2 linked regions of the Anolis sagrei genome follow. The protein of the gene in region 1 interacts with the protein of each later gene in a pairwise test. Links are inferred from orthologs where the notes say so. Each region holds a gene or a part of one and is shown on either strand. Other genes may lie near its edges.

Region 1 (10,916 bases):
CGATCACCACTGGGACCCCCTTGACTGGCTTGTGCCAGAGTCTTCGCAGTTCGAGCTTTAAATCCTCATATTGTGTATTATTATTATTATTATTACTATTGTTATTATTAATATTAGGGTGGCCTTTTGCAGCTGACAGTTAGTGATTTTGTCAGCGCCGATTGTTTTTAAGTGCAGGTCATGGTCTTTAGGCACTGCACCCAGTTTGCTGATCACCACTGGGACCACCTTGACCGGCTCGTGCCAGAGTCTTTGCGCTTTGAGCTTTAAATCCTCATATTGTGTTGTATTATTATTATTATTATTATTAGTAGTAGTAGTAGTAGTAGTATTAGGATGGCCTTTTGCAGCTGACAGGTGGTGATTTTGTCAGCGCCGATTGTGTTTAAGTGCAGGCCGAGGGCTTGAGGCACTGCACCCAGTGTGCCGATCACCACTGGGACCGCCTTGTGCCAGAGTCTTTGCAGTTCGAGCTTTAAATCCTCATATTGTGTTGTATTATTACTATTACTATTACTATTACTATTACTATTATTATTATTAGGGTGGCCTTTTGCAGCTGACAGGTGGTGATTTTGTCAGTGCATATTGTTTTTAAGTACAGGCCGAGGTCCTGAGGCACTGCACCCAGTGTGCAGATCACCACTGGGACCCCCTTGACCGGCTTGTGCAGTTCAAGCTTTAAATCCTCATATTGTGTTGTATTATTATTATTACTATTGTTACTATTATTACTATTATTACTATTACTACTACTATTACTACTACTACTATTATTATTATTATTATTATTATTAGGGTGGCCTTTTGCAGCTGACAGGTGGTGATTTTGTCAGTGCATATTGTTTTTAAGTACAGGCCGAGGGCTTGAGGCACTGCACCCAGTGTGCCAATCACCACTGGGACCCCCTTGATCGGCTTGTGCCAGAGTCTTTGCAGTTCGAGCTTTAAATCTTTGCATCGTGTCAGCTTTTCCAGTTGCTTCTCGTCAATTCTGCTGTCACCTGGGATTGCAACATTGACGATCCGCACTTTGTTTTTTTCCATGATCGTAAGTTCAGGAGTCTTGTGCTCCAAAACTCTATTAAGCCTGGATTCGAAACTGCGCACTGGGGAGAGAGTCACATTCTCTCAGCCTTGGAAGGAAGCTATTGCAAGGAGATCTGGCCCGGGGAAACCTTAAGCGAGGGCCGTCCTGAGTCGGGAAGGACTTGAAGGCATGCAACAATAACGGAGGGAGAATCACCCAAAGGCATGGGACCATGATAGAGGAACCATAATAGAAGCTCTGGCTTTATTATGGTTCCACGCCTCTATGCAGAGACCCTCACTGATTGACTTTGCAAACTTCAGAGCTTCTATCTATTTATGGAATGTCCAGGCTCCCTCTATGCAAAATACCCTCAGTGATTGACTTTGCAAACTTCAGGGCTTCTATCTATCTATGGAATGTCCAGGCTCCCTCTATGCAAAATACCCTCAGTGATTGACTTTGCAAACTTCAGGGCTTCTATCTATCTATGGAATGTCCAGGCTCCCTCTATGCAAAATGCCCTCACTGATTGACTTTGCAAACTTCAGGGCTCTTAAAATGCTAATTCAAGCTTACCAACTGCAACAGACAAGGGTTCTTTCTCCCACCCTGTTTGGGAAGTGGCTAGGCTACCTCTATGCAGATATCCTTACTGATTGACTTCGCAAACTTCAGAGCTACTCAAATGCTAATTCAAGCTTGCTAATTGCAACAGGCGAGGGTTCTTTCTCCCATCCTGTTTGGGAGACGGCTAGACTATCTCTAGAGACTCTTACTGATTGACTTCACAAACTTCAGAGCTATGCAAATGCTAATTCAAGCTTGCTAATTGCAACAGGCGAGTGTTCTTTCTCCCACCCGTTTGGGAGCTGGCCAGGCTACCTCTATGCAGAGACCCTCACTGATTGATTTCACAAACTTCGGGGCTACTCAAATGCTAATTCAAGCTTGCTAATTGCAAGATGCAAGGGTTCTTTCTCTCATCCCATCTGGGAGCCGGCTAGGCTACCTCTATGCAGAGACCCTCACTGATTGACTTCACAAACTTTGGGGCTACTCAAATGCTAATTCAAGCTTGCTAATTGCAAGATGCAAGGGTTCTTTCTCTCATCCCATCTGGGAGCCAGCTAGGCTACCTCTATGCAGAGACCCTTACTGATTGACTTTGCAAACTTCAGAGCTACAATTTTGCCTGAAATCAATTGGGCCCCAAAGGCTTGAATACTGAACCCTGCTCCAAAACTCTATGAGGCCTGGATTTGAAACCGCACACTGGGGAGAGAGTCACATTCTCTCAGCCTTGGAAGGAAGCTACTGCAAGGAGATCTGGCCTGGGAAACCTTAAATGTGGGCCGTCCTGAGTTGGGAAGGACTTGAAGGCATGCAACCATAACGGAGGAAGATTATTGTGGGTTTTTTCGGGCTATACGGCCATGTTCTAGAGGCATTTCTCCTGACGTTTCGCCTGCATCTATGACAAGCATCCTCAGAGGTGAGGTCTAGGTTCTTGTGGGTTTTTTCGGGCTATAGGGCCATGTTCTAGAGGCATTTCTCCTCTTGCCATAGATGCAGGCGAAACGTCAGGAGAAATGCCTCTAGAACATGGCCGTATAGCCCGAAAAAACCCACAAGAACTGAGTGATTCCAGCCATGAACGCCTTCGACAATACAATGGAGGAAGACTCACCCAAAGGCTTGGAACCATGACAGAGGAACCATAATAGAAGCTCTGGCTCTATGATGGTTCCACGCCTTTGGGTGAGTCTTCCTCCGTTATTGCTCCATGCCTTCCAGTTATTCTTCCTCGGTTCCATGTTTTCGAGTTATTCTTCCCAAGACTTTGATGGTGCCAACCAGAGGACGTGGAGGACCACCTGCCCCCCAAACCCAGGCCCACCCCAAAGCCTCACCTTGCGTCGCTCATCCGTCTCCCTCTGGATCAGCTTTGAGACGCTCTTGGGCAGGAGGTGCTCCTCCACCACCAAAGTGGGCACGGTTGGGGCCCCAACAGAGAGGGTCCCGGGATCCCCGGCCTCTTTGGGGACCGAGGCCAGGGGGCTGCGGAGGGAGACCGGGCTGGGGGGAGTCCTGTGGGGCCGGACCATAACCGGGAGACCTCCGCCGAGGGAGCGAGCCTGGTGGCTGGACGTAGCTGGGGGCAACACCAGTTGGGAGTGCAAACCGGCGCAGGCACCTCCAAATCCTCCTCCTCTGCGCTGAGGTTGCGGGCTGAAGGGCCCTTGAGGATGGGTCAGCAGTCCAGCCACTTCCAGCCGGGAGTCCAGAGACTGCGGGTGTCGCCCGGCTTCGGCCAGCCGCCCCACAAAGGGGTGCTGGGGGTGGGATTCGGCTTCGGCGTCGTAGAAGTCCCGGCACGTCCAGCGGCCACGCTTGTAAGGCTCCCCGGGACCTGGGTCCAGCTTCACCACCCGGAAGCGCGAGCCGGACACCAGCGACGGAGCGGTCAACGGGGAGGTGGGGGCCGTGGGGCCATTTCTGGCCGCCCCACCGTTGCCGCCGTTGGCCCGCGGGCCAGCGTCCCCTTCTGCTTCCGTCCCAACCTTTGCGGCGTCCGCTCGTCCTTCTTTCTGCTCGTAGTCCGAAGTGACGCTGGTGATCTGGAACCCGCTCTTCTTCTTGCCTCCGCCGCTCATGGTCCTGGGGGCAACGAGGCGGGGGCTTCACCGAGGCGGCACCGTCGTTGTCCTCCTCATCATCATCATCATCGTCCCCAAATCCTGGCGAGGGGAGAGAGGAGGGTGGAATATCAGTATAGTCTAATTCCTATCGTTATGATTAGCAAGACACCAACGCAGTCCTGAAGCCGACCCCATGCCGGGGTCACAACACAAGGGGGTCAAAGGTCAGGGAGACCCCAACAGAGCTTAGAGATAGACAAAGCCTGGCTTGGGGAAGGGGAAGATTGGGGAGGGGGAAAAAAGAGGGTCTGTCTAGGGGAGGCCGCGACCTCGGTTGGCCCAAGGCAAGGCTGTTGACAAGGCGAAGCAACCGAGGAGTGACACCCGAAGCAGCAGAAGCAGCAGCAAGGAAGTCAGTCCGGCCCCTCCTTCCTTCCTTCCGTCAGTCCTTCCTTCCCAACCAGCTGACTGCCTGCCCCTCCCCTCCCCTCCCTTGCCCTCCCCCCAAGGCTGGCCCAGCCCCCCTTAACCCCTTCCTTCCCGGAGCCCAGCAAAGCAAGGCCAAGAAGGCCCAGAGAGAAGAAGCACGCACAGGTATGGGCCAAATTGGGCTCTCCATCCAGGTAGCTTGGACTCCGACTCCCACCATTCCTCACAGCCTCAGGCCCCTTCCTTTTGCCCCTCAGCCGCTTAAGCGGCTGAGGGGCAAAAGGAAGGGGCCTGAGGCTGTGAGGAATGGTGGGAGTCGGAGTCCAAAACACCTGGACGGAGAGCCCAATTTGGCCCATACCTGCCATGCAATGAATACAGTTTCACCCCACATTGCTACATTTATTTACACTTCCTTTTCTCTTTCCCAAAGGGGATTCAAAGTATCTTGACATATAAACATTAGTATACAATGTATTCTTGAAGGCTTTCCTGGGTTGCTGTTGAGTTTTTAAGGTCTGTACTAGCCATGTGCCAGCAGCATTCTCTCCTGATGTTTCACCTACATCTGTGGCTAATGGCATCTTCAGGGGTCTGTTCAGAAGCAAGGGGAGTCTGTCTATCGATTGATCTATCTATCTATTTATCTATCTATGGAATGTCCAGGCTACCTCTATGCAAAATACCAAACTACCCTCACTGTGCAAAATACCCTCACTGATTGACTCCAGCAGCATTCCCTCCTGATGTTTCAATCAGTGGCTAATGGCATCTTCAGAGGTTTGTTCAGAAGCAAGGGGAGTCTGGCTGTCTATCTATCTATGGAATGTCTGGGCTACCTCTTTGCAAAATACCAAACTACCCCTGTGCAAAATACCCTCACGGGTTGACTTTGCAAACTTCAGGGCTCCGCAAATGCCGATTCAAGCTTGCCAATTGCAACAGACAAGGGTTCTTTCCTCCCACCCTGTTTGGGAGGCACTGACTTTGCAAACTATCTATGGAATGTCCAGGCTACCTGTATGCAAAATACCCTCAATGATTGACTTTGCAAACTTCAGGACTTCTATCAATCTATGGAATGCCCCGTTTGGGAACCGGCTAGGCTACCTCTATGCAAAGACTCTCACTGATTGACTTTGCAAACTTCAGAGCTACTCAAATAGTAATTCAAGCTTGCTCATTGCAACAGGCAAGGGTTTTTTCTCCCACCCCGTTTGGGAACCGGCTAGGCTACCTCTATGCAAAGACTCTCACTGATTGACTTTGCAAACTTCAGAGCTACTCAAATAGTAATTCAAGCTTGCTCATTGCAACAGGCAAGGGTTTTTTCTCCCACCCCGTTTGGGAACCGGCTAGGCTACCTCTATGCAAAGACTCTCACTGATTGACTTTGCAAACTTCAGAGCTACTCAAATGGTAATTCAAGCTTGCTAATTGCAACAGGCAAGGGTTCTTTCTCCCACCCTGTTTGGGAGATGGCTAGTCTACCTCCACGCAGAGACCCTCACTGATTGACTTTGCAAACTTCAGGGCACATGTCTGTGTTTTGGATGAGTTGGGGACTCGGTGCGGCTTACGTGAGGCCGAGCCCAAATTACATCAGTAATCAAAACAATAACAACAACAATAATAATGGCATCTTCAGAGGTTTGTTCGGAAGCAAGGGGAGTCTGTCTATCCATCTATGAAAATGTCCAGGCTAGGTGCAAAATATCCGTGAAGGTATAGAGGTCTAAGCAAAATACCAAACTAACCCTGTGCAAAATACCCTCACTGATTGACTTTGCAGACTTCAGGGCTCCGCAAATACCGATTCAAGCTTGTCAATTACAACAGACAAGGGTTCTTTCCTCCCACCCTGTTTGGGAGGCATTGACTTTGCAAACTTCAGGGCTTTTATCCAACTATGGAATGTTCGGGCTACCTCTATGCAAAATACCCTCACTGACTGACTTTGCAAACTTCAGAGCTATGCAAATGCTAATTCAAGTTTGCTAATTGCAACAGACAAGGGTTCTTTCTCCCACCCTGTTTGGGAGATGGCTAGGCTACCTCCATGCAGAGACCCTCGCTGATTGACTTTGCAGCTTCCTGGCTACTTAATGCTAATCAAGCTCACTAATTGCAACATCTACCCTTGCTTCACAAAGACACGGGCTTAAGCGGCGGAGGGGGAAAAGGAAGGGGCCTGAGGCTGTGAGGAATGGTGGGAGTCGGAGTCCAAAACACCTGGACGGAGGGACCAATTTGGCCCATACCTGCCATGCAATGAATACAGTTTCACCCCACATTGCTACATTTATTTACACTTCTTTCTCTTTCCCAAAGGGGATTCAAAGTATCTTGACATATAAACATTAGTATACAGTGTGTTCTTGAAGGCTTTCCTGGGTGGAAGGCAAAAGGAAGAGGGGCCGACCAAGGGCAAGACGGATGGATGGCATCCTTGAAGTGACTGGACTGACCTTGAAGGAGCTGGGGGTGGTGACGGCCGACAGGGAGCTCTGGCGTGGGCTGGTCCATGAGGTCACGAAGAGTCGGAGACGACTGAACGAATGAACACACATACAATGTGTTCTTGAAGGCTTTCCTGGGTTGCTGTTGAGTTTTTAAGGTCTGTACTAGCCATGTGCCAGCAGCATTCTCTCCTGATGTTTCACCTACATCTGTGGCTAATGGCATCTTCAGGGGTCTGTTCAGAAGCAAGGGGAGTCTGTCTATCGATTGATCTATCTATTTATCTATCTGTGAAATATCCAGGCTAACTCCATGCAAATACCCTCACTGGTTGACTTTGCAAACTTCAGGGCTTCTATCTATCTATGGAATGCCCAGGCTACCTCTATGCAAACTACCCTCACTGATTGACTTTGCAAACTTCAGGGCTACTCAAATGCTAATTCAAGCTTGCTCATTGCAACAGACAAGGGTTCTTTCTCCTACCCCGTTTGAGAGCTGGCTAGGCTACCTCTATGAAGAGACCCTCACTGATTGACTTTGCAAACTTCAGAGCTACTTAAATGGTAATTCAAGCTTGCTAATTGCAACAGGCAAGGGTTTTTCTCCCACCCTGTTTGGGAACCGGCTAGGCTACCTCTATGCAAAGACTCTCACTGATTGACTTTGCAAACTTCAGAGCTACTTAAATGGTAATTCAAGCTTGCTAATTGCAACAGGCAAGGGTTCTTTCTCCCACCCTGTTTGGGAGATGGCTAGGCTACCTCCATGCAGAGACCCTCACTGATTGACTTTGCAAACTTCAGAGCTACTTAAATGGTAATTCAAGCTTGCTAATTGCAACAGGCAAGGGTTCTTTCTCCCACCCTGTTTGGGAGATGGCTAGGCTACCTCCATGCAGAGACCCTCACTGATTGACTTTGCAAACTTCAGAGCACATGTCTGTGTTTTGGATGGGTTGGGGACTCAGTGCGGCTTACGTGAGGCCGAGCCCACAATACATCAGTAATCAAAACAATAATAACAACAACAATAATTGCATCTTCAGAGGTTTGTTCGGAAGCAAGGGGAGTCTGTCTATCCATCTATGAAAATGTCCAGGCTAGGTGCAAAATACCCGTGAAGGTATTTTGCACAGGGTTAGTTTGGTATTTTGCATAGAGGTCTATACAAAATACCAAACTAACCCTGTGCAAAATACCTTCACGGGTTGACTTTGCAAACTTCAGGGCTCCGCAAATGCTAATTCAAGCTTGCCAATTGCAACAGACAAGGGTTCTTTCTCGCACCCTGTTTGGGAGGCATTGACTTTGCCAACTTCAGGGTTTTTATCTATTTCTGGAATATCCAGGCTACCTATATGCAAAATACCAAACTACCTCTGTGCAAAAATACCCTCACTGATTGACTTTGCAAACTTCTGGGCTTTTATCCATCTATGGAATGTCAAGGCTACCTCTATGCAAAATAGCCTCACTGGTTGACTTTGCAAACTTCAGGGCTTTCTCCTATCTATGGAATGTCCAGGCTACCTCTATGCAAAATACCCTCACTGATTGACTTTGCAAACTTCTGGGCTTTTATCTATCTATGGAATGTCCAGGCTACCTCTATGCAAAATAGCCTCACTGGTTGACTTTGCAAACTTCAGGGCTTTCTCCTATCTATGGAATGTCCGGGCTACCTCTATGCAAAATAGCCTCACTGGTTGACTTTGCAAACTTCAGGGCTTCTATCTATCTATGGAATGTCCAGGCTACCTCTATGCAAAATACCCTCACTGATTGACTTTGCAAACTTCAGGACTTTTTTTCTATCTATGGAATGTCCGGGCTGCCTCTATGCAAAATACCCTCACTGATTGACTTTGCAAACTTCAGGACTTTTTTTCTATCTATGGAATGTCCAGGCTACCTCTATGCAAAGTATCCTCAGTGATTGACTTTGCAGACTTCAGGGCTTTTATCTATGGAATGTGCAGGCTACCTCTGTGCAAAGTACCCTCACTGATTGCTAATGCTAATTCAAGCTTGCCAATTGCAACAGATAAGGGTTTTTTCTCCCACCCTTTTGGGGAGACAGCTAGGCTACCTCTATGCAGATACCCTCACTGATTGACTTTGCAAACTTCAGAGCTACTCAAATGCTAATTAAAGCTTGCTAATTGCAACAGGCAAGGATTCTTTCTCTCACCCTGTTTGGGAAGTGGCTAGGCTACATCTATGCAGATACCCTCAGTGATTGACTTTGCAAACTTCAGAGCTACTCAAATCGTAATTCAAGCTTGCTAATTGCAACAAGCAAGGGTTCTTTCTCCCACCCTGTTTGGGAGACAGCTAGGCTACCTCTATGCAAAATACCCTCACTGATTGACTTTGCAAACTTCAGAGCTACGCAAATGCTAATTCAAGTTTGCTAATTGCAATAGATAAGGGTTCTTTCTCCCACCCTGTTTGGGAGATGTCTAGGCTACCTCTATGCAGATACCCTTACTAATGGACTTTGCAGCTACCTGGCTACTCAATGCTAATCAAGCTCACTAATTGCAACATCCACCCTTGCTTCACACAGGCAAGGGTTCTTTCTCTCACCCTGGACATTATTCCACAGAGATATATACACTCCACTTGCTTCATGACCTCTATGCAGATCCCCTCACTGATTGACTTTGCAGCTGCAAGGCTACTCAATGCTATTCAAGCTGGCTAATTGCAACATTCACACTTGCTTCACGCAGACAAGGGTTCTTTCTCCCACCCTGGGCATCATTCCACAGGTACATTATTTACACTCCACTTGCCTCACAGCCAACAGAACCTCTGAAGACTCCATTAGCCACAGATGCAGGTGAAACGTCAGGAGACAATGCTACTGGAACTTGGCCAGACAGCTCGAAAAGCATATAGCCTTGAGTCAAAAGGCCTCCAACTGCACACAATGTAGACCAGGCATGGGCCAACTTCGGCCCTCTGGGTGTTTTGGACTCCAACTCCCACAATTCCTAACAGCCGGTAGGCTGTTAGGAATTGTGGGAGTTGAAGTCCAAAACACCCAGAGGGCCGAAGTTGGGCAATGCCTGGTGTAGACGCACCTTCAGAAATGTGCTAACTCAACCCATCCCTTTGGGGTCCTTTTGACCTCAGGGTCCCTCTCATTGAGGCTGGACTAGATGCCCTCTGAGTGACCCCCTCCCACTCTACCTCTGGGAAGAGATTACACCCAAACACACACACACAACACACACCAAGGCCGAGGTGCTAGAAGGCTAATCCGTCTCAAACGGGGAAATAACGGGATTAAGACCGGGATCGGAAGCAAGGCAGCGGGGATTATATCCCAGGGAACAAGGCCGCCGTCTGGGATCGGGGTCAAGAGGGCAGCTGAGGGATTGGCTTCATGCGCTGGCCCTTTAAGGCAGGGAGGCCTGGGACCCCAACCTATGGGGTCTAGGTATTTTAACTGGGTTGCATCCTCCATATATCAATATTATAATGATAATGATGGTGATTATTGTGTTGTCGAAGGCTTTCATGGCCGGAATCACTGGGTTGTTGTAATTTTTTTCAGGCTATATGGCCATGTTCTAGAAGCATTCTCTCCTGACGTTTCGCCTGCATCTATGGCAAGCATCCTCAGAGGTAGTGAGGTCTGTTGGAAGTAGAAAAAAAGGGTTTATATATCACTACCTCTGAGGAAACAAACAAGGATATCCAATCACCTCTCAACAAAAGATTGCTCCATGCACTGCCAGGCCATCAAACGCTAATCAAAGTGGTCAGTTGAAACATTTATTTATTTATTTGTTTACTTTATTTATATACCGCTTTTCTCAGCCCTCAGGCAACTCAAAGCAATGAACAACATCAATACAAAACATCATGAGACTAGTATAGGGCAATTAAAAACAATTGTAACATAAATCATTAAACATCCATATAACAATCATTAGCCCCTAGCTCCAACAGACAAGAGTTCTTTGTCCACTCTGGTCATTCCACAGATATATAAACCCATTTTTCGTGGTTCCAACAGACTTCACTACTTCTGAGGATGCTTGCCATAGATGTAGGCAAAATGTCAGGAGAGAATGCCTCTAGAACATGGCCATATAGCCCGAAAAAACCTACAACAACCCACGATTATTATTATTATTATTGTTGTTGTTGTTATTGTTATTGTTATTAATAGATAGATCTGTTTATTGATTAGTCCACTGATCATATCAATAGTAAAAGACAAAAAGGCTATAACTATCCTAAATCACTATCCTAAAGCTCCTGTGTTGTTGTTGTTGTTGTTGTTGTTGTTGTTATATTTATTTATTCCCCACTTTATCTCCCCAAAGAGGACTCAAA
Region 2 (10,740 bases), on another chromosome or scaffold:
TTTTAATTGCCCCACGACGTTATTCAAGTAGTTTTTAAGTTCAGAGTCTGCTGTTACAAGCATAGTGAGCCCATATTTCTGAACATGTGTGAAGGTTTCAGCAGGATAGATCCCACGTTGGTATAAAATACTATTGATGCCATATGCTGAAAGAAAAAAAAGTGCATGTTATTACAATTCAAGAATCAATACTTCATCATGCTCTTTTTCTTTCCCATTAAGTATTTCCAAATGGCAAGGCAATATTGGCATACACAATAGTGTAGTAAAAGATATCTCATATATAACATGGCAAAATCAAGGTTTGCTTTTAGGAATTGTTTATTTTTTTGGAGGGAGGGAATATTTTTAGGATGATTGAACCCATGGCTATGGAGGGCTAGCTGTGTTGTATATATTCATCTCTCCATGTTTGTGGTTTAGATTTTTGTTCATTTGATTATTCACAGATTTGACTTAAAATATTTATTTATTAACTTGCATATATTTATATCCCACTCTTCTCACCCTGAAGGGGACTCAGGGCGGCTTACATAAGGGGCACTATTCCATGCCCGAATAACAGTTAAAAACAATTAAACGACGATTAAAAACAACATTAAAGCAACATATGCACACATTAGACAACTATTGTGCATATATTCATGAAGATAGTCATATTCATCAATCCAAAACCAATTCCAGTTATATTGCACAAGTAATTATGCTCCTAAAGCCGAGTTTTAATTTGTTTGCAAAATGACAGGTGGGAAGCCGATCTAATTCCACAGCCGAGGGGCCACCACTGAGAAGACCCTCTTTCTTGTCTCCACCAGCCGTGCCTGCGAAGGTGGTGGGACTGAGAGCAGGGCCTCACCAGAAGATCTTAGCCTCTGCAATGGTTCATAGAGGGAGATGCGTTCAGACAGGTAAACTGGGCCAAGGCCGTTAAGGGCTTTATAGACCAAAGCCAGCGCTTTGAATTGTGCTCGGTAGCAAGCTGGCAGCCAATGGAGCTGGCATAACAGGAGGATTGTGTGCTCTCTGTACGCCACTCCTGTTAGCAATATGGCTACCACACATTAGACTAGTTGAAGCTTCCAAAAAGTCTTGAAAAGCAGCCCCACATACAGTGCATTACGAGATGAAACCAACAGATGTAACTAGTCTATACGAGATGTATTTTCTCTAAGAATATGCCCTGAACCCCAGAAAGCTGTACTGCCTTTGCCAACTCTTATTACTCAAAAGATTAAAATCTAACACTCACTCTGGGAGAAGACAGCAATGTAAAGACACGGCAGGGTTAATATGAATTTACAGTGGAAGCCAACAGAGATCTAACTTTGATTTGTTTTAATTGGGAATGCTTTAATACTATTTATATTTAATCCTGCTTTAATGTTCGTATATTTGTATATTTCAAATGGCTATGCTGATGCTTTTATGTCAAGCTGTTTTGAGTTCCTTGGGGAGATAAAGCAGGGTATAAATAAACATAATAATAATCTATGTAACAGAAACCCCAGATTTCAACTAGACTTGTTTTTAGGTTGAGAAGGTCTAACACAGGCATAGGCAAACTTCAGCCCTCCAGGTATTTTGGACTTCAAGGCTGTTAGGAATTGTGGGAGTTGAAGTCATAATTGCTTTTAGGGTATATACTGAAATGTCTTACTCATGTTTTAGTTTACTGTGTCTTATTGGATTGCTTTATGTTAATTTCAGCCTTTCTCACCCCGAAGGGGACTCAGAGCAACTTACTTCTTTGCTCTTAGTTTGCTGCTGTTTCTGTGCCTTATCTTGTATTATTTTGATGTGTTTGTATTCATTTGGGGCATTGAATGTTTGCCTTTTGCTTTGTGTCTGTAAACCACCCTGAGTCCCTTCGGGAAGGAGGTAGATCTTGAAGCAAAGTTTTTTTTAATATTATCATTATTATAAATGTGCAAATACTAAAAGACATTTATTTATTTACGACATTTATATCCTGCCCTTCTCACCCCAAAGGGGACTCAGAACAGCTTACAAGTTATATGTACATACAATATATTATATTATTAGAATAGCACAACATAAGTATTATATATTACTATATTGTACTATACTACTATACTGCAATATTATTAGTAATATTACATACAATATATAATCATTATATTATATTGTATTATTATTAGTATTATTATATTGTATCACAATATTATGACCAATATTATATGTACATACAATAGATTATATTATTAGCATGGCACAATATCAGTATTATATATGATTATATTATAATATTGCATTATTAGTAGTATTATATTGTATTACAGTATTATGATCAATGTTATATGTACATATAATATATTATATTAGCTGAGCACAATATTAGTATTATATACCACTAAACTGCAATATTATTAGTAATTACATGTAATATATAATATACAATTATGTTGCATTATTATTAGAATTACATTGTATTACAATATCATGATCAATATTATATGTACATACAATAGATTATATTATTAGCATGGCACAATATTAATATTATATATTACTATATTGTACTATGCCACTATACTGCAATATTATTAGTAACAATACATGTGATATATAATTATTATATTATATTGTATTATTAGTGTTATATTGTATTACAATATTATGATCAATGTTATATCTACATACAGTATATTATATTATTAGCACAGCACAATATTAGTATTATATATTACTATATTGTACTATACCACTATTATTAGTAATATTACATGTAATATACAATATACAATTATTATATTGCATTATATTGTATAACAATATTATAATCAATGTTACATGTACATACAGTATATTATATTATTAGCATAGCACAATATTAGTATTATATATTACTATATTGTACTATACCACTACAGTGCAATATTATTAGTAATATTACATGTAATATATAATTATTATATTGCATTATATTGTATAACAATATTATAATCAATTTTATACATACATACATTATATTAGCATAGCACAATGTTAGTATTATATATATTACTATATTGTACTATACCACTATACTGCAATATTATTAGTATTATATTATATTACAATATTATGATCAATGTTACATGTACATACAATATATTATATTAGCATAGCACAATGTTAGTATTATATATTACTATATTGTACCATACCACTATACTGCAATATTATTAGTATTATATTGTATTACAATATTATGATCAATGTTACATGTACATACAATATGTTATATTAGCATAGCACAATATTAGTATTATATATTACTATATTGTACTATACCACTATACTGCAATATTAGTAATATTACTTGTAATATATAATACACAATTATTATATCATAGTATTATTAGTATAATATTGTATTACATTATAATGTTATCATCAATATTATATGTATATACAATATATATTATTAGCATAGCACAATATTAGACATTCTTAAGGAGGCATTTCTATTTATATTGCAAAGGAGACTTCCCTGGAGAGAGTTCTTCCCATGTTTTCCTTATCTATCATACTTCTTAATATCAAAGGAGACAGAGAAAGGGAAGAAAGACAAACAGAATCAGGAAACACATTGGCTGCTTTAAAGTTTCAGCTGAATAGGCCTCAGTTCAGCTTCAGCCTGGCCTATTTACAATCTACACCAGGCATGGGCAAACTTGGGCCCTCCAGGTGTTTTGGACTTCAACTCCCACAATTTCTAACAGCCTCAGGCCCTTTCCTTTTCACCCTGAAAAGGAAAGGGCCTGAGGCTGTTAGGAATTGTGGGAGTTGAAGTCCAAAACACCTGGAGGGCCCAAGTTTGCCCATCCCTGATCTACACTTGAATTAATACAGTTCGAATCCACTTTAACGGCTATGGCTCAATGCTACAGAATTGTGGGATATGTAGTTTGTTGAGGCACCACCACTCTTTGGCAGAAAGAACTATAGGCCTTGTAAAGCTACACCTCCCATAATTCAATAGCACCCGGCCATAGCAATTACTATAGTGTCAAACCGCCCCCACAGTCTTGTAATCGACTCACAAAAGAACTCGGCCACGATTTCCGCGCTGCCCCGCAGGGTGATGCCTTGCTCCCGGCTCTGCTGCTTCGCCATGGCGGGCAGGAAGGAAAAGGGCCAGCAGGGTCAGGATCCAAACGAGAAACCACCGGAAGAAGGCCTCCCCCAAAGCCTTGGAAATTCGCCCCTTCCAAAACACGAGACAGTAGCTTTAGAGGCCTTCCCGCCACGCTTTTCAAAATCCAAAGCCCCGCCCCTGCATCGTCACGTGGTCCCAAGACGCAAGACTTGACGCCGGCGACTCACTGCGCAGGCGCAAACGGAGGAAGACGACAGAGACGTTCTATTTCATTTGAGCCGCCTTTAGCTCTTATTATGTGCGCATGCGCGGCTTTCTCAATGAAGTTTTCCCGCGGTTTCCCACCCAATTGATGTAAGACTTAAAATATTGCTTTTAACAGCCAGCTATATGGAATTCCAGGATTAGTAAAGTTAAGATATCTAAGGAATCTGCCAATCCCAAATTAGTTCTCTTACAAACAGAAACATAAAGAAAGAATGACCAAAGTTTTGATCCTTTTGAGATTTTATTTATTTGTCATGTCAGGACAACCAGCCAAATTATATTGCATTTCTAACACAACAAAGCAAACAAACAGACAAAATACAAAATTTGTGAGTTTGGTAGTTGATTAAATGTCCTTTTGAGATGCCACCCAACAAACTTCCCCATTTATCTAAATGTTCATGCACCTGATTCTAATTATTTCCATTAGCTAAGCTGATGCAACCAGGTGTTTATTTACTTTTGTACTTATTCAGGACTCATTGTTTTCCTTAATGCTGGCCCTTTTTATAGTTGTGATTGTGACTTGAAACTATATATTAGAGCAGGCATGGGCAAACTTGGGCCCTCCAGGTGTTTTGGACTTCAACTTCCACAATTCCTAACAGCCTACCGGCTGTATTGTGGAAGGCTTTCATGGCCGGAATCCATGGGTTGTTGTAGGTTTTTCCGGGCTATATGGCCATGTTCTGGAGGCAATTTTTCTCCTGACGGCTGTTAGGAATTGTGGGAGTTGAAGTCCAAAACACCTGGAGGGCCCAAGTTTGCCCACATCTGCACAATCAATATTAGCTAGCTGCAATATGAAACAACAGTGCAATTTGGGTCTACCGTTCACAGTCCTCCTCCCCCCTTTGTGTTATTTACAATCAGAGAAAACCCATTGTGAATCCCATTTATTTCACTGGATCTACTGACATTTGTTTGATCAGATATATGCCATTACAAATTTGATGAAGTGGGACTTTGGTTGACAGAAAAGTAAACAATGTGTTCATTTTTCTTCCACAGTCTGAGCAGGTTTTATTTATTTTGTGTCAAAAGCATTGCATAAACAAATAAGTATAAAACTGATAAAATAAAAAGAGCACAAACAGCTAGATAATTTTAGACCAAAAACTGGCAACAGACTGCATTGTCTGTAGCTTTAACTAGTTCTTCTGCTATGTATGAGGCAGGACATCGTGGGCAAGCATCTAGATGTGGAGTTGTTTGTTCTGCTCCACAGTCACACAAAGTAAACTCCGCATCTATATGCTAATAGGTAGTGCCATTTTCCCAGGTTGTCTTTTGATCTACCAACTCCGCTTCTGAGTCTTTTCAGGGACTTCCAAGTTGCTCATTCTTGGTTTGCCCCTGGAGGAGGACCCTCATGGGGGGTGGGGCATCCGGTTGGGATTTCCTGGTTTAGATTTGGTCGTGTCAGGAGCGACCTGAGAAACTGCAAGTCGCTTCTGGTGTGAGAGAATTGGCTGTCTGCAAGGACGTTGCCCAGGGGACACCCAGATGATTTAATGTTTAGATGCCCAAAGGGATATTCTTGCTGTTTCTTGGGGAGCATTAAGAGGAGTGTTGGTTCTCATGAAACTTTCCCTTGATTTAAGTCTACAGGGAGGAGACTAATAAACATACAGTGCATGGTTTTCAGTGTTCAACCTTATTTCTCTCGTAATTAGCAACAGCCATTGCACATTGGGGGGGGGGGGGTAATGCCAGATAGCTTATAGAGTCTATCAACAGGTGTACATTTGGGACATCCTGTGATTATTCTACATGTCTCATTCAGTGCTATAGTCACTTGCTTCATGTAGGCAGACTTGTGCCAAACAAGGCAGGCATACTCAGCAGTTGAGTAAGACAAGGCCAGGGCTGATGTTCTTATTAATTTTGGGTCTGCACCCCATGCACTATTAGTAAGTTTCGACAGGATGTTATTGTGTGCAGATACTTTGTGCTTGGTGTTCGCACAGTGTTTCCTAAATGTTAGTGTTTGATCCAAGGTAACGCCGAGATATTTAGGGTGGGAACAGTGTTCAAGTTCTTGGCCTTCCCAGGTAACCTTCAGTTTCCTGTTGCCTTCACCATTATGTTGGTGGAAAGCACACACTTGGGTCTTGGCAGGTGTAATACTTCAAAGACAACCACCTGAGAGATTTTTCAGGGCATTAGTAAGTTGGTTTTCTACTGTTTCAAAGTCCTTTGCTTGTGTTGTTAGGCCAAGGTCATCAGTGTATATAAAGCTCTTTGTGAGTTGTGGTTGTGGCTAATCATTAGTATAAATGTTAAACAGCGTATGTGCAAGAACACTGCCTTGAAGTAGATCATTATTTTGCCTTCTCCATCTACCTTTCCTGCCCTAAGACTCCATATAGAAGCTGAGGTTTTCTAGGAGGGTCTGGATAGTTTTTATAAAATCGTAATCCCAGGTGATATGGTAGACTTTATGCAGCAATTTCCTATATTACACCATGTCATAGGCTGCCATAAGGTCCACAAAAACTATTCCCGTAATACAATCTTTCTCATAGCCTTCCCTGATATACTAGGTCAAGTTAAGAATTTGAGCTGTACAGTTTTTCCCTAGTCTGAAACCTGCTTGTTGTGCAATAAGCTGGGGTTCAATAACAGGGCCTAGTTGATTTAATAGCATACCCTCATATATTTTATACCAATGTCACATGAGAGTGATTGGTCGGTAGTTCTTGGCATTGGAGGCATCTTTACCAGGTTTTCAAATGCCAATAGTTTGAGCAGGTAGTAATAATTTATGGTGATAAAATGTAAACATAATTTAGACTCCTTCCTCTTGTAAATTATGACTGGATTAGTTGAGAACAAGTTTTGGAACATAAGAATGTGAAGGTCCAGAGCATTACTGAATTCGTTTTGCCATTTCTAGAATAGATTTAGGTTTTTCACTAGAATTACCACAAGATGGTAGTGTTTAACTAAAAGTGCTTGATTCTCTCAGTGTTGTCCTGAAAAGTGAAAAAAAACAAACAAAACAGCATGGACAGTCAAAGGACAGCCTCACTCATTGCAATGGCCCAGATCCTTCTGCATCACAAAAGGAAAAAAAAAGTTCCTGGCTGTCATGTTCAATGCATGCAAATAATGTACATCTTTGATCACATTAACTTTTTTATCAATTCATGGGGCAAATATTCTGCAGCTGTGTTTGTCGCTTTTGGCACTAGATAAATGTTAGTATAAATTGTTCACACACAAACACATTTGATTTCTGTTTACAATAAATTGCTTTGCTTATTTGACCTGTTTGCCAACAATTTTATCTCTTTTTCCTAGTAGAAAAAAAAAATCAGTGTTTTATCCACATCCACTTTGTCTTCTTCCTCACCACTTTTATTTTTTCTTAATAAAAGTGAAAGGATTTCATCTTTTTGACAAGGACAATGAGTTATGTTTTTGAATATTCAAATAAGGTCTTGAGAAAAGTTTTTTATTTTAAAAAAAACCCAAGTGAATTTGTTTTCATTTCAATAAAATAACAATGTTATCAAATGCATGTTATTTGCTTCGTCCAATTCAGCCTTGCATCAAAGGGTATTTTATACCCTGCAGATGTTTATTCACCCCTATTTTACATAGAACAGCCATCCTGTATACTGAAATGTAGTGTAAAGGATTTATGGAATTGAAGGGGCATGCACTCTGCACATTCCCAGAAGTCCCCTTCTGTCTTGGAAGGGTGGCATGGAAGGACACAACAACAAATTGAATCTCTCTGAAGATTAGCTTTATTTGCCGACCGTGCAAATGGCGGCAGTTGTGCTCTACACATGAAAAGACTACCGCGCCCCAAAAGATTGGGATCGCAATCTTTTATTGTTTTACAGAAATCCAAAAAGTGCATTTTGATTGATGTCAACATATTGTCTGTTTGATTGGTCTAAGCTTGCCTAATACATTTCGGATTGGCTCTTTATTCCTAAGCAAGCAGACAGGTGGAAAACAACAGAAACTAGAATTAACTGGAAAGTTCACATCTCTTTCAAGTGACCCTGACTCGCTGGGAAGTGCTTGGCAGGCACTGGCTTATCTTTTGCTTACAAGAATGCTGTGTGAAAGAATAGGGAGGGTAGGCACGAAGGCTACTCCCTAAGCTGCAGTGGCAGCTCTTTTTCAAAGCTATATTTCAGTCTATTTACACTCTACAGATGGAACCTACAGTCCTATAGTGCAATTTAAAATATTATAAAACTACATCCCCTTCAGAACAACTTTGTTTTCCTTGCACTTTTCCTTTGGTTTCTTCTTTATGTCATCATTAATCTGAAGTTCAAGATTAACAGATTGTATGCATATATTTCAAATATTTTATTAATAAGTCAGTCTGTCTTCCATTCTATACTATTGAAACAAAGGAAGTCGGCCATGTTTCTGCTGACCAACATGTTATTATATTATCTTTTATAAAATGAGCAGCCAAAAATTATTATGAAGGGATATTTGAAGTCAAGATACTTTCCTGTTCCATCCCTTTTAAACTATACAGTAGAGTCTCGCTTATCCAACCTTTGCTCATCCAACGTTCTATATTATCCAACGCAATCTGCCTCCCATCCAGATCCACAAATGTTTCAATACTTTGCAATGTTTTGGTGCTAAATTTGTAAATATAGTAATGACTACATAACGTTACCGTATATAGAACTGCTTTTTCTGTCTATTTGTTGTAAGACATAATGATTTGGTACTTAATTTGTAAAATCATAACATAATTTGATGTTTAATAGGCTTTTCCTTAATCCTGCCTTATTATACAACATTTTCGCTTATCCAACCTTCTGCCGGGAATTTATGTTGGATAAGCGAGACTCTACTGTATATTTATGATTACTTAGTAGTTGAAATGTAAGGATTGCATGTCATATGACAAAAATTAGTTCCATGTAGAAATTAGCTTAGTACTTTATTTAATTGCACGCAACATGTAAAATCGGTTCCAAATCCTGGCATCCCTACTATTTATTGATGTTTTGCCCTGTTGGGAGTGTCTACTCTCTAATAAGCAGCAGCTGATTTTACCCAGACATTTCGAGCCACCTGTTGTGACCATGGAAAATGTTCCTAATAAACACCTTCTTCAAAGTGACTTTTCCAGCTGACACAGAGGGATTCCAGTCACTCTTTTGATAGTATTTTAACCAAATATGTGTTGGTTAAATTAAATAAATTTTATGCTCCTTCTCTGGAAAAGATCAAGCACCTTTAAATGCAAAATGGTTGAGTCACAGAAGCTGTGCTTTGTAATTAACTGTTGCCACTCTTTTCAAATGAAAAGCAGATTGCAGTGTAGAGTTCAGCATGTCAACTTATGATATGAGCACAAATATTTTGTGTACCAGACATTTTAAAGGAAGCTGAACTAGACAGATTGTATTTAGACAGCCGTATGAGCACCAACAACAACGCTATCTTAAATATTTGTCAGTTGCACTAAGACAATTTAACGTTAAGATTGTTTTAGAGTTCACCTTTGGAAATATAACATAATTCATGTTTTTTTTTCTGTCATATCTAGATTCCAGTTATTTTTTTTGAAATAGTAAGCTAACTTCTAGTGGCTTAGGTCTCTTAAGTATGTTTTCCTATAAAATACTTGGTCTTGGATTACTTTCATGTATTTGCTTCCAATCTTGTTTCTTGCTAATAAATTAGTTGAAAGCTGACCTTTCTCTTTGATTTATGGAATATCAATCTTCACACCCCCAAGAGTGAATCTTTTCTTTTCTTTTCTTTTCTTTTCTTTTCTTTTCTTTTCTTTTCTTTTCTTTTCTTTTCTTTTCTCATATGGACTTTAATGTCCCATAAATGTTCTTACTAGATTTTGGCTCAAGAATCTTGATTTCCTGGGATTGGACTCAAGTCTGGAATACTTCAATTCTTTTTTCTTTGTTTACCTTGTCTGAATTGAGGAGTTTCTCATCACAAGAATATATTGTTTGGAATTATTACCATCTGGCAGACAATGTAGTATGATAAAAACAAGGACAAATAGGCGGAAAAGATAGTTTTTATTCCAGAGCTGTGACTATATTTATCTATATATTTATTTATTTATCACTAGCCATCCCCTGCCACACGTTGCTGTGGCCCACTCTGTGTATATGTGTTTTGGATGTGTATATATGCGTATATTTGTATATATGTGTATATATGTGTTTGTGTATATGTATGATTTTGCGCACCCTTTGAAATGTATTTTGGGGGAGTTGGCTTTTAAAGTCTCTTGTGCTGTATTTTTCAGCGTTTTTATGAGTGATGGTCACTTGTCCTGATAGGTGTGTTATGTCCAAATTTGGTGTCAGTTCGTCCAGTGGTTTTTGAGTTATGTTAATTCCACAAAC

What was found.
Region 2: the proteins of TSC22D4 (region 1) and MAD2L1 interact in binary tests that used the Homo sapiens proteins (3 or more experiments, as listed by UniProt). The two-hybrid records come from large-scale screens. The link is inferred for Anolis sagrei from reciprocal best matches to the Homo sapiens genes TSC22D4 and MAD2L1.

Annotation. Positions count from the first base shown.
Region 1 is NC_090026.1:2,041,252-2,052,167, reverse strand, and holds the start of TSC22D4 (TSC22 domain family protein 4), read right to left. Parts: upstream 4,133-10,916; 5' UTR 3,688-4,132; coding exon 2,944-3,687; intron 1-2,943.
Region 2 is NC_090025.1:35,718,829-35,729,568, forward strand, and holds the start of MAD2L1 (mitotic spindle assembly checkpoint protein MAD2A), read right to left. Parts: upstream 4,301-10,740; 5' UTR 4,120-4,300; coding exon 4,047-4,119; intron 147-4,046; coding exon 1-146. UniProt on the Homo sapiens protein: Component of the spindle-assembly checkpoint that prevents the onset of anaphase until all chromosomes are properly aligned at the metaphase plate.